2 linked regions of the Nothobranchius furzeri genome follow. The protein of the gene in region 1 interacts with the protein of each later gene in a biochemical or structural test. Links are inferred from orthologs where the notes say so. Each region holds a gene or a part of one and is shown in the gene's direction. Other genes may lie near its edges. The genes, in order: fkbp8 and egln1a.

What was found.
Region 2: the proteins of fkbp8 (region 1) and egln1a form a complex in vitro, tested with the Homo sapiens proteins (2 studies listed by BioGRID, with this or other methods). The link is inferred for Nothobranchius furzeri from reciprocal best matches to the Homo sapiens genes FKBP8 and EGLN1.

What each region holds. Positions count from the first base shown.
Region 1 is NC_091748.1:52,420,029-52,435,708, reverse strand, and holds fkbp8 (peptidyl-prolyl cis-trans isomerase FKBP8), read left to right. Parts: upstream 1-5,608; 5' UTR 5,609-5,740; intron 5,741-6,233; 5' UTR 6,234-6,264; coding exon 6,265-6,490; intron 6,491-6,690; coding exon 6,691-6,860; intron 6,861-7,033; coding exon 7,034-7,122; intron 7,123-7,622; coding exon 7,623-7,843; intron 7,844-7,981; coding exon 7,982-8,154; intron 8,155-8,233; coding exon 8,234-8,311; intron 8,312-12,459; coding exon of another isoform or gene 12,460-12,543; exon of another isoform or gene 12,544-12,704; intron 12,705-13,108; coding exon 13,109-13,243; intron 13,244-13,373; coding exon 13,374-13,460; 3' UTR 13,461-13,729; downstream 13,730-15,680. Other genes in the region: ssbp4 (single-stranded DNA-binding protein 4), read left to right, coding at 1-71, 1,183-1,263. UniProt on the Homo sapiens protein: Constitutively inactive PPiase, which becomes active when bound to calmodulin and calcium. Seems to act as a chaperone for BCL2, targets it to the mitochondria and modulates its phosphorylation state.
Region 2 is NC_091752.1:2,290,069-2,305,595, reverse strand, and holds the start of egln1a (egl nine homolog 1), read left to right. Parts: upstream 1-6,764; 5' UTR 6,765-7,211; coding exon 7,212-7,916; intron 7,917-15,527. Other genes in the region: tsnax (translin-associated protein X), read right to left, coding at 2,038-2,152, 2,238-2,327, 3,329-3,344. UniProt on the Homo sapiens protein: Cellular oxygen sensor that catalyzes, under normoxic conditions, the post-translational formation of 4-hydroxyproline in hypoxia-inducible factor (HIF) alpha proteins.

The sequences.
Region 1 (15,680 bases):
ATCCTCCCGGCACCCCGCGGGATGACGGAGAGATGGCAGGCAACTTTTTAAACCCATTCCAAAGTGAAAGTGTGAGTACGAGAAAGTTAAAACCCAAGCCGTGCACCGGAGAGCGTCTACTACTCAGTTAGCCATGTGCCATGGGCATGTAGGCACTGCTGAGAGTATTAAATCTGATTTTAAAGCAGAAACATATTTTATTTGACCAGTTTATAGTAAAACAAACCACAATTAGCAGATTGTATTCATTTGATGTTTTTTTCCCCTTTAGCTGAAAGATGATTTGACTGTTACCATGGGAACCCAGTTTGATATGTGTGCAAAATGTTTAAAGAGCAAGTCACCCCCTGCCAGATTCTTACTCAACTCCCACTTCCTGTTTGAAAAATGCAACAAATGCTGTTGCTTAGTAGAACGAGATGGCGGAGCTGCTAACAAATACACACACTCACGACATTGTGACATCATAATGTACTATCTAACATCATAGTGTACCTCTTAGCCAATAGCGACGGAAGATTTAATTTCAAATGCAGTGCAGAGTTTTTGCCTGACGACGGTGCATCGCTGACAGTTTTAGGCAGAATATTTAAATTTTAACTAAGACTAGTGCCGAGTTATTGACTACATTTGTCTGCAGCACAATCAGACACTCATTTATATAGTTTATCAGCAAAAAATGTTGATTTGGAGTGACTTGCTCTTTAATGTTGGATTGGCTCTTTATTTCTGAACATTCCTTTAGCCTGACTCAAAATTACAATTTTCGATCAGAGATATCAGAGTTATAAGATCTGTTTTTTAAAACACAAAAAGTCACAATTTAAACCAGGACAGATGGAAACGTTTGTCTCCAAAAACCTTTAATTTTCCCTAAATTTACTGAACTCATTCACACGCCTGCAGGCTGTTCAGACGCACATATTAATGAACGAAACATCAGCGTCAAATTCTTATTCTTAATGTGAGACCAGCGTGAACTGTAATGTTAATAAACAAGTCTCTCCTCTCTTGTCTCTGTTTTACAGTATTCACCCAACATGACGATGAGTGTGTGATTTTTTTTTATTCACCTTTTTCATTTCCTTTTATCTGAATCCCCCTCCCGACCACCCTGCTGTGTCTTGCATCACCTTCCTCGTCCTCCTTCTCCTTTATCATCGTGGATGGTGTGCCACACAGCTCCTGGGGATTGCCCTGGAGAGCAGGACTTCCCTGAAGACTCAACATCCTGCTGCCTGTAAAATGGGCGTCAGAGCATGAAATGGTCTTGGAACAGCAGGAAGGAGCTCCTCACTACAACTTCTTCTTCTCTCCTGCTAGGATCCGTCAAGGGCCCCAGAGCCTGAACCTGCATCGAGTCTGCATCTCTGACAAAAACCAAACCTGCTCTTGTGGGTGGCATTCGGGCATTATCAGGACTACTCTGTTCATTTAGCACTGTTTTGGGACAGAAAACCCTCATTCAGATGCTCTGGACTGATTACTAAAACATGAACTTGTGATGATCTTTTAGGGCTAGAATGATTTCATGCATTTTTTGAGTTGATATTGTTCTAATTTGCATAGCCGATGCTATTCTTGTGTTTTATCTCTGCAGCAGCAAGCACACATTGGATGAATGATTGATTTTCTGACTGTTTTCTTTAGACTTACAGATTTGTTTCAGACACCTCTGCACAAAAATGCATTGCAACTTTGTCTTTGCCTCCTGGATCTTTCTCCTAGACTTTCACAGGAAAGATTTCTAATGAGGCCTGATCTGAGCATTGCTGTTTTCTGATACAGATTGACTGTTGATGCACATGGATGATCAGCTGTTTGTCTGTCTTGTCTTTTGTAAACCCAAATACAGCTGTCTGTTTCTGTTCTGTCGACACGATGAGCCAACTGTCAGGAGAGGAGCTGCTTCGTATTCAGAAACAGACCACGATGGAGGATTTTCTGCATCTTCTTGTCTCCTCTGTAGTCTTGTTCTTGTCTGTAAAAACAACAAAATTCGATTGTTTTTATTTGTTATTTACAAGGTGTCTGTGAAACCAGAAATGCTCTTCCCATTCTGGTTCATGACGCCCAAGTGATGTCACAGATTCTGTTGATCAACTTTCAAACGAAACCGGCACAGTCTCTGCAAAACGACGTTGTTTTTCTAGGAAAGCCCCTTTAAATAGGGTAATGGACTCATGGGTTTGTGTGATGTGATTCATCTTGAGCTCGTCTAAAGAGAAGGAACCATTTGTAGATTGTTTTCAACATTTATTTTTATTTCTGATGTATTCAGCTGAAGTTAAAGCCCCAATAATCTACTCAAAAACAAAAGTGTGGTGACACAGTCAGTCTGATTCAACGATTCTGCCTCCTTCGATCTATCCACTAACAATAACTAAAGAACCACTGCAACCTCTGTCGGAGACTTCTTATGATTTACTGATACGACTGTGAACAGATAGTGCCCAGATATCAGTTGGGGTATCTCCAAGATTTGGCCATCAGTGGCTTGGAAATCTCTCTCTGTCCAGCGTTCCTTAGAAGCAGTGACACACCGCCCTCCCTCCCTCCCACCCTTTCATTTTCTCTCTCTTGTTTTCTTGTAAATACTGTATAATGCATTTTGATATCATTGACATGTTTTGATATGTCAGTCACTACCAATGAATACAGCTGAAAGTAAATTATAAATAAAACTGTTCATGTTTTCTTTTTTCATAGAGAAAGGATGTGAGAAAGGCTTGTGTGGCTAAATTTATAGAATACTGTAAAGTGACTAAATGTATAAAATGACACACGGACTGTATGCTAAAGGCTCGTGTGTGTCGGGGGGAGGATGGGCCAGAGAGAAGCAAACGCGCTGCTGCGGCGTCCTCGCTCTGCCCTTGACTCGATTCAGTCAAATGTTGCTGTTTGGTTTTGAAAACGTTTTTTTTAAAGAATCATGTGAATAGGTTTTCCAAAGGGCATCTTCTCTCAAAAAAATAGTGCATGTGACCTCAGGTTGCAGTTTTTCATATGAAGGATTTCTATTGATTAACGAAAACTTTTAAAAATGGAAAAAAAAGGAAACATTTTAAATTAAAGAGATCAAAATCTAAAACTTACGAGGAAAAACTATTCACGTGCGTGATAGCATTGTATAGTTTGAAGCTCTCTCACTGATCCTCTCTCAGTCCTCTGTGTATATTGATCGTTGGCCATCTCTGTACTTCTATTGTGATGTATAATACTGTACCATTAGGAAGATTTGCTGGTCGGAGGGGGCGGGGGGTTGTGGTCATTTTGCTTGGGGGGAGGGGGGTTTAAAGGATGGGGATATAAAGGATTCTCCAATCACAGTCCTCTAATGACACGGCAGTATTCAATATGAAGCAGTCTGTCTCTTGGGTTTGCTTTGTATCTCATGGTAGGATAGTCGAGAATCTTGTCTTAGGGATTTAGCTGTCTTGTGTAGGTAATAAAGATGTTCTTTGTATGTTTCTTTTTATTGTAAAGTTCTTTTAGACTGAAAGAAAAACAGACAATTTGCTTATAAAAAAGAAACGATGCATCAATAATAAATGTCATTTGATTTTTTTTTTCCCTCTTGTTTGAATTTCTTTGTTTTCCTCACAGCAAGAAAGGTGGGAATTGATGCCGGAACTGATGACAAGGTACTATTCTGGAAGAAAACATTTGATGAAAACCAAATAATCACAAGTGTAGACATGATTTAAAAAAATGCAAATGTAAGCAAATTGGATATATTTGTACCTTTTTAAATCTGCTATTTATGACAGGTCTATGTGTCATTAAGTTTGCTGTTTGAAAATATCTAAAGTAATGGGTTTTTGGAAAATAATAATAAATATATGTGAATATTTCAAATTGTAATTTTCCACACGATAAACAAAAGGTCAGAGATGTTGCTTTAACACTAAATAATTACAGAATCAGGACTGCACCCAACTAGTAAATATTTAAGTGAAACCATGAAATTTCCTGAATTTTATAAACATACCTAAAAGGTAAGCATTAATATTGCTTATATTTGCAAAAAAAAATGGTTTCACTATATGATGTGTAGCTGATTGTTTTTCTAATTATTACTGTCCAACAATTATTCTACAGAAATGAAGCGTGATTTTGTAGACAGGTGGAAAAAAGCACATGCTCATAAATCAACCTACTACTACTATAGAAAAACATGGTTGTCCTGCTTCAGTAAAAAAGGCACTGAATGTCTTTTAAAAACCTGTGTAATCCTTTAATGCAATTTTGGAGGGTTTCAGAAGAAACTGACCCAGAAGCACAAATACCATAAATAATGTTATGTCAACCTAATAAATCCATGCATAAATTATTTTAAAATATTTTAGAAGTGGCTACAATCTTTCTTTTAAGTTTACTGAAACATGTGGCAGCCTAAAGGTGAAACTAATAGAAGCCAAAGATTCAGTTCACGCTGTCAAATGTTTTCAACTATAGAGAAAGGCAATTGGGATTTTGGCGTTGACGCGGGTTTTGAAATTTCATGTTGCAGAGCATGATTAAAAACGTGTCCATATGCTTTGAGAATATTTTATTAACATAATCAAATTGGACAAAATAATGTTACATTTATTTAACATTTACTGCTGGAAATTAACCCGGGCTAAAATAATGCATATTTACCTACATGAAATATGTAAATGTTCATTAGTATGCAATGTCCCTTTACAAATAACAAAAATTCAGTCATCTATTCTTCTTCTTCTTTTTCTTCTTCTTCTAATTATTATTATTATTATTATTATTATTATTATTATTATTATTATTATTATTATTATTATTATTATTATTATTATTATCTACTTTTACCTTTTTAATTAAGGAAAATTACTAGAAACTCCAAACTGCTGTCGTTTCCATGTTAGTGAGGTAAAATATTAACTTGCACCAAGGGGGAGCTCAAGGTTAACAGGAAGCACAGGGCTGAAGTTCGCTTGCTGCTGAACATATCAACACGCGTACTTTTTTTTTATTTTTTGGGTCCTCCGCCTCACAACGACGTGATGGGAATTCCGGCTCTTTTTAGAGAGCCGGTCTTTTTGGCTCAGCTCACCAAAAAGAGCCGGCTCTTTCGGCTCCCAAGTGGCTCCTCACATTTTCTGTTGCGTAGAGTATATTTATAACCAAAAAAAATGCTAAAATATATGTAACATGATTTACTAATGTAAAAAATTGCAATATATAAACTATTTATCATTTGAATGGATTTAATAACTGAACACTTTAAGAAATCTCCACTTTCTGACTGCTGGCGCTCATTTTCTCACCGTCTTTGCCGCACTCTCTCTCTCTCTCTCTCTCTCTCTCTCTCTCTCTCTCTCTCTCTCTCTCTCTCTCTCTCTCTCTCTCTCTCTCTCTCTCTCTCTCTCTCTCTCTCTCTCTCGCCTTTTTCCTCCTCCTCATTCCCTCTCGTCTCCCTCCACCCGCATGTGCTCTGCTGTGTGTCTGAGTCTGATCCTCCCTCTTCCCCGCCCCTACTGCTCTGTGTGTGGACAGTCTGGACACGCAGTTACACATGTTGACCAATTGCCTGTGGCGTTCACCAAAGCAAAAGGGGAGGGGACGGCTCCCAATGACGAGCCGGCTCCCGTCGTTCACTTCAAAGAGCCGGCTCTTAGAGCCAGTTCGTTCACTACCGACACATCAGTACAACGTTGAACTGACTTCACTTTGAGTTTAACGAAGGGACAGCTCAGGACCGAAACAAGCCCACTTGGAGGTTTGTTGTACTTTATTTCGATTAACGCATATACACTTTGACCCACTCTCACTGCATTGACGTGATAAACCCAATGGTTTATCGTATAATAGAGTAAAAACTCGTTATTATCGTTTAGTACCTGTATTGCTTAACCGGCTAATGCTACTTGCATTAGCAGTAGCATGCTAGCCGCTTGGGCATTTAGCTGGAGGAAAACTTGTTAAAACTTCTTGCTAGATTTGTCAGGGCACAACAGTTAACAGGTAGCGTAATAATTAAATTTGCGAAATGTTGCCACATTGTTTGCTAAAATTAAAAATAATAAATAGACGTTAAAGGAGGTGTTGGGTAAACAGTTGTGTAGCTATCATCATGTGACCTATCACAGTGTTTAACGTCGACTTGCACATAGTTGAAGGCTTTTTTTCCTCACTAGGATTCAGCACATACACAGTTTTACTTTTCACAGAAAGTGAATCACTTCAAGCTGTTTTCTGTTTTCCTTAATCAGGTGATGTGCTGAGGACTGAACACGTTTGAGAATGGAGTCTTCAGCTGGACCTCCTGCTGCTAAGAAGCATGGACAAACCTCGTTGCTGGACAGCGGGGAGGACTTTGAGGTGTTGTGTGATGAAGACATTTATGACGACCTTCCTCCTCTGGAAGATGCCGGGGGTGGAAACAGTAAAAAAACAGAAGATGCAGAAAAGAAAAGGGTTGAAGATCCAGAACCTTCTGGCAACATTGATGAATGGCTAGATGTTTTAGGTATGAGGGAAATGTGACAAAACCAGACACATTCTTACAGACAACATGCTAATAGTTTGCATTTGTATGTTGTTTGTATGTTTTCCAAATATTTAGTGGCATTCACAGCAGAAGCTAGAATTCCATTACTGTATAGTTATGAACATTTAATGGTTCCGTTATATGTAACCAATTTTATAAACAGATCTATCTGCTGTTAGGTAACGACCAGCTGAAGAAAAAGGTCCTTGAAGCAGGGAAGGGACGTGACAGTCGGCCTCACAAAGGACAGGTCGTAAAGATCCATCTTAAAACACACTTGATGGATGGTACACTTGCACAGGAGCTATGTGATCTCGCTTTCACTCTGGGAGATGGTGATGTCATCCAGGTAAAGAAAAAGAAAAACTCAGATGATTGGTTGAATAGGTTTTTAATAATATATATATATATATATATATATATATATATATATATATATATATATATATATATATATGTGTGTGTGTGTGTGTTAAATTTGCATGTAAGTCATTAAAGCAAAAAACACTTTAATCTATTTAGGCACTGGATCTGACAGTGCAGCTTATGGAAATTGGAGAGAAAGCACTCATCCAGACAGATGCAAAATACGCATACGGTGTCCGAGGAAGGTAGGAAACATTTTGAAATGCTCCTGAACAGTCTGCCACGTTAGGGCCATTATATCTAGTGTTATTAGTTCAAAATGTAGACATGACTTTCACGTCACAGTTTTCAAACCAGAGATGTTTTGAGGAAATATTAAAGAATTGGACATTGCAGGAGAGAGATGCTCACAGTTGTCCCCGACAGCTGATTGTTGAATTAATGCTTAATGAGTCTGGGATGTTTGTGGTTTCTTCAAAGATTAGAAGTTTTATTAAGCCAACACTTAAAACAATGGTGTGGTGAGGAAGATCAAGCCTGTGGATAATAACAATATCGGTTCATATTTGCTCTGAAGCTATGCCTTTAAAGCTATATTTACCAGTGTGTCTCCTCCTAACACTGTGCTCAGTAAATGTGCCTGCATTTGGTTGCTGAAAAAGAAGGAAACATGACAGTAATATCTGTGAACTGTCTCCTACGGCTGGTGTCCCTGACTCTGTCTCCTGCGTCCTTCACTTCCTAGTCTTGATCCTGACATTCCGCCAAATGCTGAGCTTTCCTTAGAGGTGGAGCTGTTGGAGGCTACAGATGCACCTGACTTGGAGCTGCTTCCTCCCTCGGAGAAAATAGCCCTGGCTGTTCAGAAGAGGGAGAGGGGGAATGTTCACTACCAACGTGGGGATTATGCTTTTGCAGTCAACTCATATGGCGTTGCCCTGCAGATTACTGATTCTTGTTCCAAAGGTAAGAAGCATGTGCAGGAGTCAGGCAAAGCTTTATATTTCCTTCTAAAAGAAAAGATATTAACAAGATACTAACAGTTGATTTTTCTTATTTTGATACATAAGGACTCTTAACTGTTTATCATGTTTCCTTGAGCAGTTGACATCAGCCCCGAGGAGGAGAACGAGCTGTTGGATGTCAAAGTAAAGTGTCTAAACAACATGGCTGCTTCTCAGCTGAAGCTGGACCACTATGACGCAGCACTGAAGTCTTGTGTTTCAGCACTTGAACATCAACCAGAGAATATTAAAGCACTTTTTCGAATGGGCAAGGTGCTCTTTGCTCTGATTCTTTCATGTTGTGTTTCTCAGACTCCTCTAACCTGTTGCCTGCTGTGTGTTTCTGCTTTAGGTTCTGGCTCTGCAGGCTGAATACACAGAAGCCATTCAAACTTTACGGAAGGCTCTGAAGCTGGAACCAAGCAACAAGGTACATTTGGCCTTTTATAAAACGTCTGGTAAACTACACTCACTGGCCACTTTATTGTGTACACCTTGCTAGTACCAGGTCCCTTTTGCCTTCAGAACTGCCTTAATCCTTCGTGGTATAGATTCAACAAGGTACTGGAAACATTCCTCAGAGGTTTTGGTCCATATTGACCTGACAGCATCACACAGTTGCTGCAGATTTGTCGGCTGCACATCCATGATGCGAATCTCCTGTTCCACATCCCAAAGGTGCTCTATTGGATTAAGATTGGTGACTGGAGGCCATTTAAGTACAGTGAAATCATTGTCATGTTCAAACAATCAGTCTGAGATGATTGGAGCTTTATGACATGGTGCATTATCCTGCTGGAAGATGGGTATACTGTGGTCATAAAGGGATGGACATGGTCAGCAACAGTACTCATGTGGGCTGTGGCATTGCAACGATGATCAGTTAGTACTAAGAGGCCCAAAGTGTGCCAAGAAAATGTCCTCCACACCATTACACCACCTCCACCTGAACCGTTGATACATGGCAGGATGGATCCATGCTTTCATGTTGCTGACGCGAAATTCTGATCCTACTTTCCGATAGGGATGTACCGATGAAACGGCATTTGATCCCAATCGGCCGATAGCGCCCCTATCGGTTTTGATCGGACTTTTCAAAATAGATCAAAGCAGACCGCTCAGGTAGGGTTGTCACGGTAACCAGTGTAAACCCCGGTAGAAAAAGTTGACAATAATAATAACCGTCTTGTTTTAAAAAAAACTATATTATCTCGGTGGGTTACCGTGGCTGCGGTGTAGGCGCGGTGACCCTTACCAGCCACCGTATCATCTGCTGAAGTTGCAGGACCGGCGGCACATGCGCACTTTGTTGTTTACGACCAAAACTTTCTTGAAGCTAAAGCTGAAATAATGGCCTAAGGAGGAGACGGCAGCGCTCAGGAGGACATTTATTATCCCCCAAAGAAGACAAAGTCGGAAGTACGGGCATTTTTGGATATTTGAATGCCGAAGGAGTTTATAGAAGATGGACGGCTATCCTGTTTGCAGTACGTGCAGAAAAATTGTCTGTGAAAGGCAGCAACGCTTCAAATGTCATGACACATCTGCGTGACCATCACCCTCAACGCAAGGCAAGCTAACGTTAGCATTTTAGCTAAAATGCGTGATCCGAGGATTTGGGGTTGAGGGAGAACGCAACGAGTCGCTATATAAAGCAGCCGCAGCGCCGCTACCTGCATATAAACCGTGTCGCGGACACCCCCATGTTGAAACGACGCTATGCATTACGGGGCTCCCAGGGGCAGATAAGAGTTGGTCTCTCTCCGAGAATAATTATGAATTTAACAACGATTACTGCCTGATGACATTTTCCCACATCTGCAAAGCTCACTGGAAGGACACAAACCGAGGACAATAATTTCCTGATATACGGATTACTCAAGTAAGGGTAAAAAAGTATCTGATTAGAAGGCTACTTGAGTACTGCGTATCATCTGATCTAATATTTTTAAAATGATGACATCAAACAGACATAAAATAAGAAGTTATGGGCAAATATTGGTATTTTAAAGACTAAAGGGAAAAAATGTAAACAAATAAACAACATAATTACAAAATAACACATTTTAGGCTAAATTTAGACACAAACTGAAGACAATATTTCCTGACATACAGGGTTTATTGCATTGTGTGAAAATGTAGCACGTTTAAAAAAAATACCGCGATAATACCGAAAACCGTGGTAATTTTGGTCACAATAACCGTGAGGTTAAATTTTCACACTGTGACAACCCTAATACAGACCATTTTAGATTAGGTTGCATTTCCTTTATTCCCAGATTATGTAGTTTGTAGCACTCATTATAATGTTGTAGAAAATTTTTGGCCAATCCACGTGATCGGTATCGGTGATCGGTATCGGTGATCAGCATTCTTTGATATCGGTATCGGTGATCGGCAGCAAAAAACCTGATCGGTGCATCCCTACTTTCCCACTGTTGTGGCAGAAATCGAGACTCATCAAACCAGGCAACAATTTCTCAATCTTCTATTGTCCAGCTTTGGTGAGCCTGAGTGAATTGGAGCCTCGGGTTCCTGTTCTTAGCTGACAGGAGTGGCTCCTGGTGTGGTCTTCAGCTGCTGTAGTCCATCTGCCTCAAGGTTCAATGTGTTGCGCGTTCAGAGATGCTCTTCTGCATACCGTGGTTGTAAGGAGTGGTTGTTTGAGTTACGGTTGCCTTTCTATCAGCTCAAACCAGTCAGGCTTTTCTCCTCTGACCTCTGTCATCAACAAGGTATTTTCGCCCACAGAACTGCAGCTCAATGGATGTTTTCCCTTTTACAGACCATTCTCTGTAAACCCTAGAGATGGTTGTGTGTGACAATCCCAGAAGATCAGCAGTTTCTGAAATACTCAGACCAGCCCGTCTGGCACCAACAACCATGCTGTGTTCAAAGTAACTTAAATCCCCTTTCTTCCACAGTCTGAAGTTGGAACTGCGGCGGATTGTCTTGACCATGTCAACATGCCTTAATGCACTGAGTTGCCACCGTGTGATTGGCTGATTAGTAATTTGCATTAAGGAACAGTTGGACAGGTGTACCCAATAGTGTGATGTGACTAGCGAGTGTACATTGTTTAGTCTTGCTGAACAGATTGTCCCATTCTGACCAGTAGGTGGGGCCATTGGGTAAAGATGAATTCATTTGCAGCAAGTTCTGCTGATTCATCATTTCAGAGGATCTGTTTTCATGCTGCTGCTGTAAATAGGTCTGCCCTGCACCCTAGTCGTATCTAATGCCTAGTCACTGTTTCTGTTCAGATGAGTATATATGGTGCTTTGGCTATACAAGGTCACTCGCTGGAGCATGTTCCACTGTATGGGCTTATTGGATCAGCTGCAGCAGCCTGGTACTTATGCCCAGTACTCCCTACTTCAGTCCTACACCAATCTGTCAAACAGCACACAACCTGTTCACCGCTTTTCAGCCATCGCATGCAGTGTAGTATCATGTGCTACTTTATAAGACCATTTGTAATGATGTCTGATAAATGAAGTGCTTAATTTATTAACCAGTACATTTCTAGTTGTGGTTTTGATCTAAAGATTTGGAAGAGAATAGCTGCAGGAAAAAGTTCTTCAACTTGGAGCAGAAAATAAAATCCAACATCCCCTTTTTTTAGATTACAGATTATCTGGTTTGAGTCGAAGGGGAAGCTGACACTTCTCATCATCCCTTCTCATTGGCTAACTTCCTGTGTTGCTATCAAAGTCTTGAGCCATTTCAAAGACATATTGGCCAATTTATAGTTTGTGTCTTTGTTATAGTAGTGTATTTTGCCTGAGATACCGGCCTTACAGGTTAATGATGAATTACTGACATCTTAAATCAGCGCCACCTTCAAAATTTAATATTGATTAATGAAAATTAGGTTATTTTATATGTCTGCTTTGCATTAAATAATTATGTGAGCAGCACTAATAGGATATATTGTTCAAACTTGTCCCTTGGAGACACCAGAGGTGCTGTCTTAAGGCTGCTGCGGATAATTATGTTTATATAGAGTTACAGAAGTCTACGTAAACAACATGAGAAATGGTGGTGTAAAAGGTTTTTTTAAGTAATGCTGCATGAATTGCTGTGAAATTTGGAAGATTAATTTTATTTGAAGTTATTTGCAGCAGGTAAGATAGTAATTTCTAATAACTTAAGGTATGACACTTTTTATTAATTCCTGTACAAAGTTTGGGGTTGAGTTTAAAGCGCTGCTCTATGGTGCCTTAAAATAAATGTGTGTGTTTTTGTTCCAATAAAGATGCTCTTTTTCTAACCAATTAGCTTGGCTTTGACAGACACAGAAAATGACAAGATGACACATTATATCTCTCTCCTCCAAGCAGGGGCTGATACCTCTGTCTTCAGCTCAAATGAGCCAGAAAAGATTTATTTATCTGGCTTGTTTAACTTTTTTCTTAAACGACATGCAGACTTGACATTTCCAGTTTAAACTGCCTTTGACTTTCTCTGCAGAGTAAGACAAACGAGTTCTGGTAGGATCGTGATGCTAAATGTTTGTTTCTCCTCTCCCCCTATAGGTTGTAATGTTTTTGTCTTTCTGTCTTGTTGCTTCCACAGAAACACTCTTGTAAAGGTAAATGCACCACTTTGGTGCATATTAACATCAGGGCGAAGACTCCACTGCTCACAGATGCATGTTAGTAGATTTTACTCCAAACGTCACTTTAGTTTCAGGTGACTGTTTCTGTTGAACTTTGAGCAACGGTCCTCAGTCCTACCGAAGTGCTCTTAGCAAGTTTAAACATTTTATCTGTTATAATATTGATTTGCTTAGTCACTCACCCGCTTTAAGAGCAGCGAAGTGACTCACAGCTGAGTCTGTGCTGGAACAATAATTGAGCCCAGATCCTGGAATCATTGTGTGGACATGTGGGCTAAACAGCACGCTGATTTTGTGGTCCAAGCCTGTGATTTCTCGGAAGATGGCAAAGAGTGGAATCAAGAATTTTCCGGTATATAAACATTTTAGATTTTCTGATGCAGCTTCTCTGAACCCCAATCATTAATTTATTCATCTAGCAAATGCCATGACTTTGTGTTTTGCAGACCACTTGTGTCTGTTACTGTAAAGAGCGTTCTGACTTGTTATTGGTCTGTCTGTTGCAAAGCTGCACGACGCAGTCTCCTGCAGATCAGGATAACAGCACTGATAGACACAGGGCTTTTATGGTTATTTCCTGCATCCTTTCTCTTGTTTCATGCACAGACAATTCACGCTGAGCTCTCCAAGCTGGTGAAGAAGCACTCAGAGCAGCGGGGAGCAGAACAGGCCATGTATAAGAAGATGCTGGGCAACCCTTCTAGTAGCAGCGTACGGAAACATCAGGCCAAGTCTTCATGGGTGAGAGAGTAATCATCTCAGAAACTCCATGTGTTAAAATGTTTGTTCCAAAGTGAGGCTTTGAAAAACAGCGTATAATTTGTGCCAATGTTATTAACCTGCTCAACATGCTGCTTTTTGTCCTCTGCAGGGTCTCAGCTGGAAGTGGCTTTTTGGTGCCACAGCTGTAGCCCTTGGTGGCGTAGCTCTATCTGTTGTCATAGCTGCCAGGAATTGAAATGAGCCTGATCAAATGCAGCAAAAGAGCCAAAAACACTGAAACACGTCTGACTACACCTTCTGACTGTTGGTCAATGGTGGAAATGTGAGATGGTCGATTACCTCTTCGCTGTCTCCGTCTTTTCTCTACTATGTTTGAGAAGTTACAAGTAATAAGTTGTAATAATAGTGTATAGAGAAACATATTTCCAGTCTTGTAAATGTGTAGGTCTGTGCACATACATGTCGCCAGACTTTATTTTCATTTGTTCCGATTATTTTTGTCTCTGGCAAGCAAAGTTGGAAATTGATTGTTCCAGGAATCGGAAGTGATTCAAACAAAAGTAATGTAAATTATATTTAACATAAATGATTCACTAGTTTTAGTATGTCTCCAAAAGCATTTGATTTTGTTTATAAAATAATATTTATTACCCAAGAGATGGAATTTTAATTCATGGAACATGTTTCTCATTTACATGCTTTCTACTATAAGATCCACAGGCGGACAGAATATCACACACACACACCACACACACACACACACACACACACACACACTGACCCTTATGATACCCATAAGGATTTCTACTCATTTTAATCATCCATAAACTACACCATTAAAGTCACAGAACCATAGCAATGCAATGCAACAATCCAACATTTACTGCCTTAAAGTTTCAGCTTTTCTCCACACCAGACGATTGGGATGGTATTACACTCAACAGGTTTTGTAAAAACGTGTCTAACATTAGCTGCATGAAAGAGAATAAACAAATCTCCTCACACATCAACTATAGTTTTATTTGCTAACAGAATTAAATCAACACTTCTTTGATACATTCAGTGCAGGCAAACCTACAGCTGTGGAGTTTAAACACATTTAATTAGCCACATATACATAATAAATACAGACACTGTTGGGTTATTTAGGACTGGGAAAGGTGTCTGATTTCATTAAATTGTACTTTTAATATTTGTGTTAAAAGACCAAATGTTCAGAAGACCCTATGTTTGCATGGGAAGTTGTTCTAAAGTTGTTCTGCATTTCTTTTTCTCATTCCAAAAAATAAATGTGACTGTACCAAATGTGTGGCTTCCTCAGGCTAGATGATAGAGCATTAGAGCCAAAAGTTGTGTAATCTATAATTATTTGAGCAAAGTTCCTGACATTCTACTGCACTCTGCCTCCTGACATGGGTCAAATGTCTCATACCTGTAGAAATTATTCACATAACTCACTGATCATAACTGCACTACTGTATAATTCTATGTAAATGACCATTCTGTACAATTGCTAAAGCACTTCTGGATGGATGCAAACTGCATTTTGTTGCCTTGTACCTGTGACATGTGCAATGACTTCCATCCATCCATTGTCTGAACCTGCTTGTCCACTTAGGATCGCGGGGGGGGGGGGGGGGGGGGGGGGGGGCTGGTGCCTATCTCCAGCGGTCAATGGGCAATCAGGCGGGGTACACCCTGGACAGAGAGCCAGTCCATCGCAGGGCAACACAGAGACACACAGGACAAACAATCACACACTCACACCTAAGGACAATTTAGACAGACCAATTAACCTAACAGTCATGTTTTTGGACTGTGGGAGGAAGTCGGAGTACCCGGAGAGAACCCACGCATGCACAGGGAGAACATGCAAACTCCATGCAGAAAGATCCCAGGCCGGGAAGCGAACCCAGGACCTTCTTGCTGCAAGGCAACAGCTCTAACCACTGCACAGCCCATGTGCAATGACAATAAAGTTGAATTCTATTCTATTTGTTCATTTTGATGTATCTCAAATAAATGTCCTATCAAACTACTATCATTTGTCATTTACACTCATTTTACAAACAAATTAAATATGTTTTTGTCTGGTTAACCATGATTTGCTGCATTTATGCCTTTAAAAATATGAGTACATTAAGTCATGTTTGTTCTTGCAAAAGGATCAGCGACTGAAATTTCAAACTGGTCACTGGGTAATTTGCTTTACTCTGTTTACACAGACCTTCCAAAGTTGTCTAGATATCTGCTGCGTGTAAACACTTTGTTTTTGTTTTCTCTGTTTACAGGGTTGGATGTTTTACTGTAAAACTGTTGGCCTTTTTCCTCTTCCTTTTTATCAATAATTAGCTATTTCTGAATTCATGAAGGAGCTCATTGCCCTTTTAGTGTGCAGCATACACAATAATAGGCACTTCATAAATGGAAGAGTAAATATTTATTTCACTACCTG
Region 2 (15,527 bases), on another chromosome or scaffold:
TTGGCTGAGTTGCACATCTACACGAGTTAACGGACTGAACGAGAACTCACATGCTTGACTATTCCTGGGATTCCTGCTAATAAATGTGCTGCAGCTCATCACCAAGCTGTTCCTGGAAGGCTTGTGTCATTTACTTGTCACACTTTGTGTTTAAATTTTAATATGAGAGCTATTTGATTATCAGTCTCTTATTAGTAGGGTTGGGCATCGTTTGATTTTGAACGACTCCGATTCCAATTCCTCGTTTTTATTCCGGTTCCTATCGATTCCCGATTCCGATTCTTTCAAGACATGGCATGTTCTACATGAGCCAGCTAACCACAGGTCCTACTGGATGAAATAATCTTAACTTCAACATGAATTTTAACTCTATGAACAACATCATCACCTTCATTTAGACAAAAACATGTTTTGGAGGAAAAAAGAAAAAGACTTGCAGCACAACCAGTGTGTTTGTTTCTGACCACAACTAAAGTCTGGAAGCAGCCTCTGGGATGAGAGGCTAAATGTCTCCAACACATCCAGAAACGTGCAGCTGTTTCCAGCTAAAACTCTCAGGATGATCATGTCCAGGATGACTGAGAACTGCACCTCCATGCTGCAGCAGCTTCAGTCACAACAGAAACTTAACCGTAGCTGCTGTCAGTAACAAGCTAACAGGTTTAAACATTAAAACTCAACAGAAACAGTTCAGAAAGGAAATTTCACAGCTTCGTGTGTGATTTATTATTATTATTATTATAAGTTATTGTGGCAGAAGCTGGTGTGGTCCACCACAGAGAAGCTGCTCTAGCATGATGACTTTAATTATTCAGCCTTCTGACGCGCGCGCGCACACACACACACACACACGAGTGTTGGTGAGCGGCTGCGTCTGACTGCTGACGCTCCGTGTGTGTTTTTATTTCTGCAGTGAGACAAAATCACCTCACACCGTCCAGAGTTTGTTCTTTAAAGCTTCTATTAAATCCACCGTGTTGACATCTTTTAGCAAGTTTCCTCTACGCTGCAGGAGTTAAAGTTTACATTATGGAGTAAAGGTTCGGCAGACGCGTTTGTTTATATTTGGCCGCTGCGCGCCGGGTGGGGGGAGGGGGGACTCGTGCTGCACACACAGACAGCTGATGTGATCAGCTCTGGAAAGCGTTGATCACAATTTGCAGATCACGTTTATTTTTCAAGGAGATCGGCCGCGGATTCCTCTTCCGTCGGCATTCTAGGAATCGAAACTAGGGCCTAGTCCACACGTAGCCGAGGTTTTTAAAAAACGAATATCTGCCCCTCCAAAAACTTGCATCCACACCACCTCGTTTAAAAACAAAACTCTGTCCACACGTACCCGGATAAATACGTTGTTAAGGACATGCCAGACCTGTAGGCGGCAGTACTTCCCCCGTTCTTAACCTCGTCCTTCGTCTGTGGTCTTCCGCAAGGAGCAGTAATTCCGCTTGCAAAAAGAAACAAGCAAAAAGCGCTTGGACGATTGATAAAGCGAGCGCAGCTCTGAGGGCATCCATGCTGTCGGCTAGTGTAAACACAGGTCGCACACGTGATGTCAGCATTTTTTGTCGCGGAAAGTGACGTTGCGGACCTTAAAACTCCGGTTTTGTCTGTCCACACGCAGACACCCAAAACGGAGAAAACGCAGATCTTCACTTTGGCCGGAGTTTTTAAAAAGATCCGTTTTCGTGTGAAAAAACTCCGTTTTCGTGTGGATGACAGGCCAAAACGTAGAAAAATATCTACGGTTTGGCAGATCCCCGGCTACGTGTGGACAGGGCCTAGGAATCGAAATAAAAAACTTTGAACGATTCCAGGAAAAATGAACAGTTGGAACCGGTTCCAATCGATGCTCGATTCTCGATGCCCAACCCTTCTTATTAGGTACATTTCTTGTCATAAAGGGCAGATGTTTACAGGCATGAACTTGGGTTATCTGTTGATAATTATTACCAGAAACTTAAGACCAAAAGTATTCCCTTTGTTTCAATAAATTAACCTAAGGCTGCATAAAATCGAAGTTGGAAAGTCACTTACTTGGTCACTCTGTGCAAAAGAAAAATGGTCCTCTTGCTTTCAATAGTGACATCTCGACTGATCTTAACGAGACGCTCATATTTGTCATGCTTTGCATCAAGCTCCTGCTGGAAAACTTTAAAAACAGGGATAGAGTTGTTGTTTGTTTTTGCAGTGAATATATTAATCACAAAGTCAGCTTTTAGGGTGCAGCTAGTTACCTCTGAAGGCTGTGATGACCGGCGAGGTCGAGTTGATGCTCATCTCCTGTGCAGCATCAACTTTTTTCCTTAAACATACTTCACCTGGAACTATTAAAAGGTGATAATTCAGTATGAATTCAACAACACTTCTTTTTCTGTAGTTTATTTAAAGTGGGCTCTAAGAGAAACTGCAGCAATTTTGCAGGAATTTCTGGACCAATTTTTACTGACAGTTATTTGCTTATTTAATTAATTCATTCTATCTCTGATAACTGATTAATTAATTTATTATTTATTTATTTATTCAGAAGGGAAAAATAAAATCTAATGAGCAAATTACAAATATAAATGAACGGTTAAATAACAGGTTTTACAGTAATAATGATAAAGGAGGAAAAAATACATCACAATAGTGAAGTTGTCATTTTCTTGCATAAAATGTTTGCACCATGACATATTCTTACTCGTTCTTTTCATTTAAATATATGCGTTTAAGTATGTGGTGTCTCTGCCACATAAACAAAGCAACACTGCTATGAGTCGTGTTTTGCTCTAATATCAGTAGTTTCAGTGTGGTCACAAAAGACTGCAATGGTCTCTGTGTACTCATGGTTAGAGCTTAAAGTTGGCTTTGTCTCTAAAATCTTTTTATTCTTCCTACTGCGTTTCTGGTTTATTTATTGAGAATGTTAACTAAATCTAATTTTAGTGCTTATAAATTTTTTGATAAAAGGATGTTGTAACTGAGACTGCTTTCACTGATATGCTAAACGATATATTTGCAGTACTGTAAAAAAAAGCATAAAATTACCTGAAAAATTACTATTTCTAGAACACACACACACACACACACACACAGTAAAAAACTATAAACCTGTTCTTTGCACAAACTAAACTACAAGTATGTTTACTCCCAATCAATTACATTTTTAATCATCAGAAAACAGTCGCCATGTTGTTCTGAAGGACGAGGCTACTCTAGTAGCTAACTGGAAATGTATTTTATAACTTCCACAAGAAATTAATAATCTTAAGCTGCTGACTGTGGCAGCCCACAAAACCTAGCTAAAATAAAGGTAATAATTTCTAGTTTCACATACGAGGCTTACCTTCCCTTTTATTCATGCCTTCAATGTTGCAGGTTATATTTTAGTGAATTCAGTTAAAGCTAGGCTAGCTAGCTAGCTAGACGAACGTTAAATATTAGCCTTCGTCTCCGCGCACTTTATTCCACGTTTCTGGCGTTATCGAGGTTATAAGACAATGACTATCGACTCTTTCAGAGAAAACGTACGTTGCGAAACAAACAAAATCATTAATTAAAGTCTGTGAATCATGTCACGCTAGAATAAATTTCTTATTTTTGTCAACAAGCATACATGTGAACCGTAGTAACACAGGAAAACCTAAGTCACGCCCATCTACTTCCGGGCCACGGATCCCCCCAACTCAAAAAAATGTATGAGAGGATTAAAGATTTTTTTATCCCGTTTGATATGTGCCATGAATTTCACATATTTTAAAGACACAATTTAATTACAAAAAGTGCCTTTTTTCGAACGGCGGGAAAAGTTATTTCTGTTAAGACGTAGCGGAAACACAGCGAAGTGCATCATGGGAAATGTAGGAACTGTGACAATTGAGTTGTCAAATTACTAAAATGATAAATGACCCCACTTGTACAGCGCCTCTCAGAGTGATGACTCCAAAGCGCTTTACACTGCAGTGTATCATTCATCCATTCACACACACATTCACACACTGATGGTGATGAGCTACGATGTAGCCACAGCTGCCCTGGGGCGCACTAACGGAGGCGAGGCTGCCGAGCACAGGCGCCACCGGTCCCTCCGACCACCACCAGCAGGCAAGGTGGGATCAGAGCCGGGATCGAAGCTGCAACCTTCCGATTACTGGACAACCCGCTCAACCTGATGAGCTGCTGCTGCTCTCAAAATACATATAAATGTATTTGAATGTGTGGTTTTGCAACTATTTTAAACACGCACACACGCACGCACGCACACACACACACACACACACGCACGCACGCACACACGCACACACACACATATATATTTTTTAAAACCTTTTTCAACATTAATCTTATATTTGTTAAGCATGTTTTACTCATTCATTGTAAATTATGAGTCAAAGCTTGTCAGATGTCCATTCAGGTGCACAACATGCATTCTGAGTTAAAAAAATATTTTGCTGAAAATAAATTTAATCTTAAACTAATGTCTAATCCTGACTTGTTTTCCTCATTTTTTTCAGGATATGTTGCAGAAACAGCAGCCCTAGCAGGGAGACCTATAATGTCCTTTCCACAGTCTTTTCTGGGTCACCTTCCAGAAAGACAAGCTGAAACACCAGATTTCGATGTGCCGATCCTCAGCTGCTTTATTCCTGGCTGCAAAACTCCCCAGCAACAGCTAAAGGTTGTTGTCCAACGACACAGAAGCCATATAATCTACCCCTGACTTTTAAATGAACAGCATCCTCTTAAGGCAAGTTATTTGTTACGCAAAAGAAGTTGAACAAGCGTGAAATAAAGAGTGCCTGTAGGTGTTGGGTGCAATTAGGGCTGCAACCTGTCACTAATCAGATACTGCAGGTTAAAGCTGTTATCAGAAGAAGCAGAAGAAGAACAAGAAGAAACAACCTTGTATATAGCACCTCTCACGATAAAAATCAAGAAAAGGAAATATTAAGACTGAAATATGTAAATGAAAAAGAAAAAGGTAATCACTGAATCCTGAAAAATACAGATTTGACAAACACTACTGCATGAAAAGGAGCTAATGAGGAAAAATAGGATGAGCAGGAGGTCACACCAAAGCCACCCTGAACAAGTGAGTCTTCAGCTGCTCTTTAAAGGAGACCACTGAGTCCACTGATCTCAGGCTCAGGGGAAGAGAGGTCCAGAGTCTGGGGGCCACAGCAGCAGATGATCTGTCACTGTTGACCTTTAGCCTGGTGCTGCACAACCAGTAGGCTTTGATCACTGGACCTCAGGGACCTGCTGGGGGTGTAGGGACTAAGAAGATCACCAATGTAAGATGGTGCTTGTCCATGTAAGGCCCTATAGACCAGAACCAGGATCTTGAAATGAACCCTGAAGTTGACTGGCAGCCAGTGAAGCTGGAGGAGAAACGGGGTGATGTGGGTGTGTTTGGAGGACTTGGTCAGAAGCCGAGCACAGGCGTTCTGAACCACCTGTAGACGGTTCAGGGAGGTTCTGCTCAGACACGTGAAAAGAGAGTTACAGTAGTCTAAGCTGGGGCAGCAGTAGCTCAGGTGGTAGAGCGGGTTGCCTCATGATCGGAGGGTCATGGGCTCGATTCCAGCTCTCGCCAGGGGTATCCTGCTGTTGTGTCCTTGGGCAAGACACTTCACCCAACTTGCCTGTGTTAGTGGTGGTCAGAGGGGCCGACGGCGCCAAATGTCAGGCCTCCCCAGGGCGGCTGTGGCTACAAGTAGCTTACCATCACTAGCAGTGTGTGAAAGCGTCTTTGGGTGTCTAGAAAAGCGCTATATAAGTTCAATGCATTATTATTATTATTATTATTATTATTATTAAGCGTGAGGAGAACAGTCTCAAGATCAGATCAGGACAGAATGGGCTTAGCAATGTTTCTGAGATGGAAGAAGGAAGAGCGAACAAGAGAACTGACATGAGAAACCACGGTGAGAGCTGGGTCAAAGGTCACACCAAGATTCCTGACCAGGTTTGGTGTGAGAAGCAAGCTCACCAAGAGCATCACTGAAGAAGTTTATCTGGGCACAGAGGTATGATCTCGGTCTTGTCTTCATTCACCTCTAGAAAGTTCCCAGTCATACATTTTTTCATTGAGTCTAACAAAGTCTAACTAACAAAGCATGCAGCAGCTGCTGCTTCCATATGGAGATGTACAGTTGAATGTCATCTGCGAAAAGATGGCAGCAGATTCCTTTAAAAGAGCTCAGGATGTGGATGTGAGCCTTGTGGGACACCATGGGCAAAGGAGGTGGAGGAGGGCTGAAACCTGGAAACGGCCACAGAAATAGAAATTATGAGATAGTATCTCACAATAGCATCTCATAATTATAAGATCTGTTTTTTTTAAACAGAGTAGCAGGAATGGGCTTATTTTTGCTCATTTTAAATATATTTTTAAACATTTTCTAAATGCTTTTTTATATTTTTACATTTTTTTATTTTTTGTTTTTGTGAAGCGCCTCGTGATTTTTATCTTGAGAGGCGCTATAGAAATGATACTTTCTTCTTCTTCTTCCAAACGTGCTTTCTCTGTACTTTGAAGCGTTTCATGTTCAGTCTGTTGGTCATCTGTGTATACATGGAGATACGATGTCTGGGGTTCTCCAGTGTTTCAGAAATCCACCCTTCTTCATGAGGAATAAATTGTTATATTTCAAGTAATGTTTCCGAATCCAAGGGTAGGAAGCTTGTGAGTACACATCGAGGCCGGTTACGTCATAGCAAAGAGACGAATGCTGTCCGAAAAGGAATGATACTTATATATTTTAATAGTTCACTTCAGCAGTGAACCAAAATGTGTCAAATACCCTCCACGTGTCCCGGCCCTGGTGTGTATTTCATTTGACCCACAACTCCTGAAGGCAACGCGGGGGCGGGGTTTGAGCTCTGACGTCAACGAGAGCCACGGACAAACAGCACGCACACAGAGCGGCGCCATGCAGTAGACCGATCCCGACAGCTAGCCTGTCGAAATGCCTCCCGAAGCCCTCGAGCCGACCCGCGGCTGAATGCTTGTCCACGGGCGCACACTGTGGCGTTACTTCACCGTTCGAACATGCGGAACCGGGACAAGACCGACAAAATGGCGAGCGTTTGAGTTTAGTTCGACCGTTTCGCTCGGCGTAGCGAGACAGAGGCAGTGGCTCTTTCCCCAAAGTAAGTAGACGGTTAGCAGGGCGCGTGTGAAGGATCGAAATTAAAGGAGCAGTACAACCGCTGCAGCTCTCGTAATGGAAAAGCAGCAGAGCGATTTGGACCGAGACCGACAGTATTGTGAACTTTGTGGGGAGATGGAGAACCTCCTTAAGTGTGGAAGGTGCCGAAGCTCCTTCTACTGTAGCAAGGAGCACCAGAAACAGGACTGGAAGAAGCACAAGCTCATTTGTAAGGTGGCGGACAAGTCCCTGATTTCCAAACAGATACCCGGACACACTCCTCCGTCGGGAGAGGACGGGGGACCGGATAAAACCAGCACGGAGAATGTCCCCGATCAGTCGAACTCCCCGTCTTCACCACCAGCCCCAGACACAGAAGCACCTGCAGCCGGGTATCGAGCGGGAGAGGTGGGATCTAACGGCCCCGCCACACCTAACGGACAAACCAGCCTGTCCCCTCAGAGACTCGCCGTGGAGATCATAGTACCGTGCATGAACAAGCACGGCATCTGCGTCGTGAACGACTTTTTAGGAGAAAAGACCGGGCTGAGCGTTCTGGAGAATGTCAAGGCCTTGTACAAAAAGGGTAAATTCACAGATGGACAGCTGGTCAGTCAAAAGAGCGACTCTCCTAAAGACATCAGGGGGGACAAAATCACGTGGATAGAGGGGGGAGAGGACGGCTGCGAGAAGATCAAGTTCCTCATGGGTCGCATGGACGACCTAATCAGACATTGTAATGGCAAACTGGGGAACTACACTATAAATGGAAGGACAAAGGTAAGTATTGCAGCATGTCCAGGTAGAAGACTGTCAATCAGAAGTGTTGTCCCTCAGAGAAACTCCTATTGTTCAGTAATACATCAGTCACTACATAAAACCTACTTTAAGTCAGCAAATGCATATGAGTGGAGGTAAGCTGCCTCCAGGGGAAAGCATGGCTAATGCCCCGAGTCAGGTGGATTATTCCACCCAGCACATGGATGCAAAACACAGAAATGCCTCCCACCAACAGAAATAAGCTGCTGAAGGCCAACCATGACCACTGTGATTCCCCACTGTGCAGCTTTAAGCAATCTAAATTAAACTTTTTAAAATGACTCAATCTAAAAAGTGTTTTGGCAGAATAAAACAAGATGTACGAGGCAAGTAAGCTTGCTAGCATAAAGTCAGATCAAAGTGTGCACGTTCTTAAATATCAGAGTAAAACTAATCCAAATGGCAACAGCTTTGCATGAAAGGCGCTATTAAAAAAAGAACTCAACTGTACTGAATGTTAAGTTTTCCCACCGAGGGACAAGTAAGACGCAATTAATGAACTCCTGATTGGATTAAAGCAGCATGCAAGGTTTGCATGCACACAGCACATTTTTATATCATGGATCATTCAAAAGAAAGCCAAATTTTCTTATTGCATTAAACATAATTACAATTACAACTTAAATTATGGCTGTGCAATTTGTCAGATCGGTGTTTTCATTCCAACAGTCACAAAAACAATGTAATGAAGGAAATCAATGATTATTTTTGTCTCTTCCGTCCCTTACAAAGCCTAAACTCATGCATCTTGTCAAGTTTTAAAAAGTTGTCCCAAGAAGGTAATTAAACTATGTCTGCATGAATATGTAGTTAATGTCTCACAAATATAGCTTTCTTTGGTCTCTTTCCTCAGAAGGCCGGGTTTTTACAGTCATCCTGTTGCTTTCTGCAAAAATCAGGATGTTACTGAAATATTTCTAAATGGGTATGACATCTATGGCAGTCTGTCTTGCTGTTAGGCCAATAATGATTTTTATTTCACGATTTTACTATGGTGGAGCGGTTTATGGCACAGTAAGGAGGTTGTAGGTTCGAATCCCCTTCTGTGCTGAGTTAGAATGTTCTTGGTTTTGTTCAACTCATTAAGTACATAATTGTGATCTCAATATTGACCAAAACAGCCGTGATTTTTTTTTTATATAATCGAGCATCCCTGTCATCGGCCATGATGTACATAACTGTGTATTTGTTTTAATTCACTTCTTTTTCTTGTGTCCGTCACAAAGAAACTTATTTAAGCAGCATTTACGATCAATGCAAATGGCTACAATTTTATTTTTGCACAACCACTGTGACTGTTAAAAGAGCTGTTTAGTAAAATATTTGCATATCACAGCATGATGGGCATGTTTTCAGTAGACAAGAAGAAGTAGCCTAGAAAATTCCACCAGATCATCAGTTTCAAATATTCGCTGATCCATTCATGCAAATGTAGTAGATTTTTATGTCTCTAGGACAGTAGCACAAGTGACTATGCTGAACGTTGATCCATTTGGAAAACAGCCCCCTGAAGTCGGATAGACATGTGGATCATTAACAGGGACCCAGAGTGACGCAGCACTGGCCAGGTGGCTGGCTGAATACTTCAGTTCACTAACAACACACGCGTCACCGAGGAGAACTTGTAGTTTTTGGAGTAAGCATACATTATGAAAGCGATTAGAAACCACCAGCCCTGTATAAAAAAAATAAAAAAAAAGCAAGTCATTTTAGCCCAAACTTAAAAAAGCTACATGTCAGCCTGGCTCCATCCTTGCTGCTGGCTTGCGTGTGACCTGCAGCTCTTTTTTTAACCAGATGTGGTCATTTTGACCCTTGTTGTGATGGACTAACCCAGGAGGAATTGAGCTGCTTCCAGCCCTTTTCCTTTTCCTTCTCCCCTCCAGGCGGCTATCACACAAAAAGCCCCAAATACCATATTTTTTTATTTATATAGTGAGTGGATTTTGTTGCATATTGTGCAGTCCAATAACACAAATAGGCTTTTTTAATTTCTAAAATCTAAATCATGGAGATTTTAGTGTGAGAATAATTCAGTCACATATATCATATTATAGACTAAACCCTAATCCCCCCCCCCCCCCCCCCCCAGACTAATCACTCAGTGTATGACTGACGCTATTTAGTCTGTAAGGATAAAAAATAGTTATATTTGTTCTTGTGGTCAAATGATTTACAAAGACCGTCTAGAACAGGGGTATTCAACTCTGGGCCTGGAGGGCCGGTGTCCAGCATGTCTAGTTTGAACCCTGTTTCATCACACCTGATTTTAGTCAGCAGGTAAACAACAGACTTCTGCATTGTCTAATGAGCTAGCTGCATCACTCAATCAAGTGTGTAGGAGCAGAGAAACCACTAAAATGTGCTGGATACTGGCCCTCCAGGAACAGAGTAGAGTACACCTGGTCTAGAATTTATAAAAGCTTCTAATTACAGCTCATCACAAATGGCTTCCTTAAGATCCAAGTGAGTTTTTTGATGTTACTTAAATACACTCACCTAAAGGATTATTAGGAACACCTGTTCGACTTCTCCTTAATGCAATTATGTAATCAACCAATCACAAGGCAGTTGCTTCAATGCATTTAGGGGTGTGGTCCTGGGCAAGACGATCTCCTGAACTCCAAACTGAATGTCAGAACAGGAAAGAAAGGTGATTTAAGCTATTCTGAGCGTAGCACAGTTGTTGGTGCCAGACGGGCCTGTCTGTTCAGTTACTGGGATTTTCACCCACAACCATTTCTAGGGTTTACAAAGAATGGTGTGAAAAGGGAAAAACATCCAGTATGCGGCAGTCCTGTGGGCTAAAATGCCTTGTTGATGCTAGAGGTCAGAGGAGAATGGGCCGACTGATTCAAGCTGATAGAAGAGCAACTTTGACTGAAATAACCACTCGTTACAACCGAGGAATGCACCAAAGCATTTGTGAAGCCACAACTCGCACAACCTTTAGGCGGAGGGGCTACAACAGCAGAAGACCCCACCGGGTACCACTCGTCTCCACTACAAACAGGAACAAGAGGCTACGATTGGCACCAGCTCACCAAAATTCAACAGTTGAAGACTGGAAAAATGTTGCCTGGTCTGATGAGTCTCTATTTCTGTTGAGACAGAGCCAGAATTTGGTGTAAACAGAATGAGAAAATGGATCCATCATGCCTTGTTACCACTGTGCAGGCTGGTGGTGGTGGTGTCATGGTGTGGGGGATGTTTTCTTGGTACACTTTAGGCCCCTTAGTGCCAACTGGGCGTCGTTTCAATGCCACGGGTCATTGTTTCTGACCATGTCCATCCCTTCATGACCACCATGTACCCATCCTCTGATGGCTACTTCCAGCAGGATAATGCACCATGTCATAAAGCTCCAATCATTTCAAACTGGTTTCTTGAACATGACGATGAGTTCTCTGTACTACAACAACCCCCACTGTCACCAGATCTCAACCCGATGGAGCATCTTTGGGATGTGGTGGTCCGGGAGCTTCGTGCCCTGGGTGTACATCCCACACATCTCCATCAGCTGCAAGATGCCATCCTGTCAATGTGGGCCGACATTTCTAAAGAACGCTTTCAGCACCTTGTTGAATCAACGCCACGTAGAATTAATGCAGTTCTGAAGGCGAAAGGGGGTCAAACACCGTATTAGTATGGTGTTCCTAATAATCCTTTAGGTAGTGTAATTTTGGTGGCATTATTTTATCTAATATTTTGTGCGCGATGTACTGACATTTAAACTTGGGTTCTTTTTCAAGGTTAAACCTTTACGTGGACAATGAATTGGTTATTTAACAAAAATTTGATTTAATGGAAACTATTGTTTTGTATTTGCACTTATGAAACACAGCTTTTTATCATGTGTGGAACCATGAATCCCTCCTCTCCTATCCAGGTTTTTTTCCCTGTCTGACGGCCGGACGAGAAACGTTCCTCAGAATCATCTCAGTTCTTGTTGTTGATCCGTGCAGCTGTCCCCTGTGTCAAACACCCAGAGCTTCCTCGCATGCCATGCCTGCCTCAGTTGCCTTGGCAAGCACACAGCTGGACTGTGACCAGCATGACTTGCACAAAGCTGGAGGGCCGTGAATATCAATGACCCAAAGAGAAGCAACACAATGTCGGCACATTTCATATTGGAAGAGACGGAGGAAAACATTTGTCCGGAGAGTTATTTAAAGCCGTTGTTTCTGTTTCCCCCTCTCACTTCAGAGCTTTCTGGAAAGCAGCAGGCAGCAAGGCGTGTTCGTTACTCTGCAGATCCAGTAGCTGAATGCTTTCTCTGTTCATTCTAATCTCTCCAGAGACATGGACTTTAGAAATAATAATAATGTTTACGTGCGCTAGCATACTGGAGCTAGGTGGCATAAGTGCTCTAACACTAAAGAGGCAGTGTTCGTATAGTGCAGGTGTGTTGTTTTGTAGGTTTGACATGTGATATGATGCATTTTGTGGTCTAAAAGGAAGTCATCACTTAAATTAGTTAACACTAATAGATAAAGTTCTATTGGAAAAGCACTGCACTACTTACTGAACCAGACTGCTGATTTTATGATGTCAGGTTCCTCAGGACCTGGTTCAGCAACGGTAATTTTCCGGAGCGAAAGATTAGCCGTTTATATTGATACATGCAGGGAACAACCCCCCCCCAAAAAAAAATCACTGGAGTGATTTGAGAAGCTTCCATGTTTTGTCTACGACCCCAACTATTTTCACGGGACATGTTGTGCATTCATTTCTTTGAAAATGCTGAAACTCCCCTAAAATCAGGCATCCAACTGAAAATGTAATCCTGCAGCAGCACTGGGTTGTCCGTGGCTTTTCCTAACTTTAAAGAGCAAGTCACCCCCTACAATAGACGTACTTCACTCCCACTTCATGTTTGAAAAATGCAACAAATGCTGTTGCTTGGCAGACAGAGAGGGCGGAGCCGCTAACAAATACACACACACACACAGGCTCACAATGGCATTATGACATCATAATATACCAGATGACATCATAGCGTACCTCTTAGCCAATAGCGGTGGCAGATTTAAATTCAAATACAGTGCAGAATTTTTCCCTAACGACGACGCAACACTGTCAGTTTTAGGCAGAATATTTGAATTTTAACCAAGATGCACTGAACTGCCAAATTATTGACGACACGTTAGTGTTGTCAAAAAAATCGATACCCAGATATAAATCGATACTAAAAGTGGTATCTAAATTAGATATTCCATCCCTGTGGTATCGATATTATGGACTATTATACACAGCCTTCTTCAAGTACACGACACGCACGACGGCCAGATGCCGTAAAGCAGCCTCCGCCTCCCAGACAAACAGAAGAAGACGCCACATGGCTACATAGCAATTTCCCACGCGAGTTGTCTCCAATCCAAGTTTTATCTGCCTAATAAATAAACAAAAACATAAACAGCGAATTTGGGAGGCGCGTCACAGCCCAACTTAATTAGCATACCAAGTCCGACACGTAGTTGTATATTCACGCTTATGTGCTTAAAGGAAACTCCCGTTTATTGGAATCCGGACTTAATTTCTAGCATGCAGTACGTTTGTTTACTCACGCTGACAACTTTGGTGCTACTTGGATTCCCCGGGGTATTTAGATCCATCGGCGAATCGCCATCAGTGTATATATCCATATAACGGGTGAGGACGGGCGCCCATGGTGCAGCCTCGAAATAAGATTATCTGCACCAAAACATCTTCATGTCGAAAGGTTTTGTTAGGAATCATTAACGTGATTCCCCTGTTCGTTTGGAGCGGGTCTGGTCTGGGATTTCTAGGTGTGAACAGACTAGCCGCGGCTAATCTAACCGGCGCTTTTAATGAGGTCACTGCCGTGCGCCAGTCTGTTTTTATAAAGATTACCGGTAGATGTACCTTTGTCCTACTGTGGAGAAATTAGTTTTCTCCCTTTATTGACCAACAGAGTTGTTCAAAAGTACAGAACAAAACATATGGCATTACATCTTATGACAAAAATGCACCTTAAGCAGAGTTTAAGCAGCAAAACATCACTCTGCAAATAGTGTATATATAGTGAGACAATTCATGATTTAAAGTGTTAACTTTCACCAGTTTTTGTATGCACGTTTTAAAAAATGCTGATACTTGAAAGGTTTAAGCACTTAATACACTTAATTCTTAACATTTAATTTTTGCAATATAAATTGAGGAATGTTATTTTTTGAATAAACTTGTTCGATTAATGGGTGTTTTTAAATAGTATCGAAATCGAGTATCGAGGTTTTTTTCAAGTATCGAATTGAGTTTGAAATTTTAGTATCGTGACAACCCTACTGCACGTGTCTGTAGCATGATTAGACACTCCTTTATATAGTTTATCAGCAAAAAAAAAAGTGATTTGGGGGTGACTTGCTCTTTAAATATTCTTACTAGGGAAGCATACTGGCTGATCCCAATATGTAAATAAATGGTAGCTATTGGCCCCATATTTTAGAATCAACTTAACTGTCAGTGCCCCAGCGTCCTGAACCATAGAAACTTGTCTCCGCAGCACAGCCTGACCAAGGTTACAAATACAAAACGTACAGATCAAAACAGATACAGGCAGACCACAAGAGCTGCCTTTCAAGGCATTCCCCTGCTAAGAAACACATGATACTTGCTCATTTAAAACCCGATTTAGTCATGTTTACTTTCACATGCATGCTGAACATGAAAATGTTCTCCAACCCCATTGCGTGCATTAGCCACTGAATGACGAGGAAACGCACTGGTCAGAAAAGGTCACTTTTCTACTTCACATTATGAAATCTGCATTCATGCACTCGCCCACCTTGGCCTGCGACCACAGAAGGCTGTTGATTTTGCGGCAGAGCATGTCTCCGCTAGAAGCTAACCGTTATCAAGAGCACATTCTCGCCTATGTTATTTGTGGAGATAAAACATCAATCTTGTGTTTTTTACCCAAGAAAAATCAAAGAAATGCAGCGTAAGAGTCGTGCTGCTGTTAGCCAATCAGAGGCAAGGCATTTGCATTCAATCAATATTAATGAGCAAGACTCTGAATTCTGCTGTTTTCTGCCCCCACTTCTCCAACAAAATTTTTACCCCCTGAAATAGGAGCGCCGGAGCTTTTTTCCACAGGAAACGACTCGTTCGTTCGTACTAGAGACCACAGCAGATTTATTGAAAGAGTTAATCCATTCCCTCTTGTAACATCAAGAGCAAGCCCTGACACGTGTGTGTGGGAATTGAGAACATTTGCAAGCTATTTGAAGCATTATGGAACTTCGTGTACATTTCATTTGCAGTTAAGCAGCAGCTGTCACAGCTCGGAGATTAAAGCTTTAAATGTGGGCACTGCTGCGGTCAGGTAGGATCGGCATCAGGAGAAGAGTGCAGGACGTACATTCTGAATTCGCAAAATGGTTTGATGCATGCTAGATTTAATTTCGTTTTAAATATAGTTTAGTTAAAAGTTGTTGTTGTACCATTTAAGGCTGGATAGAACAGACTCAATTTAAATAATCAAAACCATTTGTTGAAACCCCAGTGGTGTAGTTGATATCATATTTCGTAATGTCACTAGTGTGTTGTCCT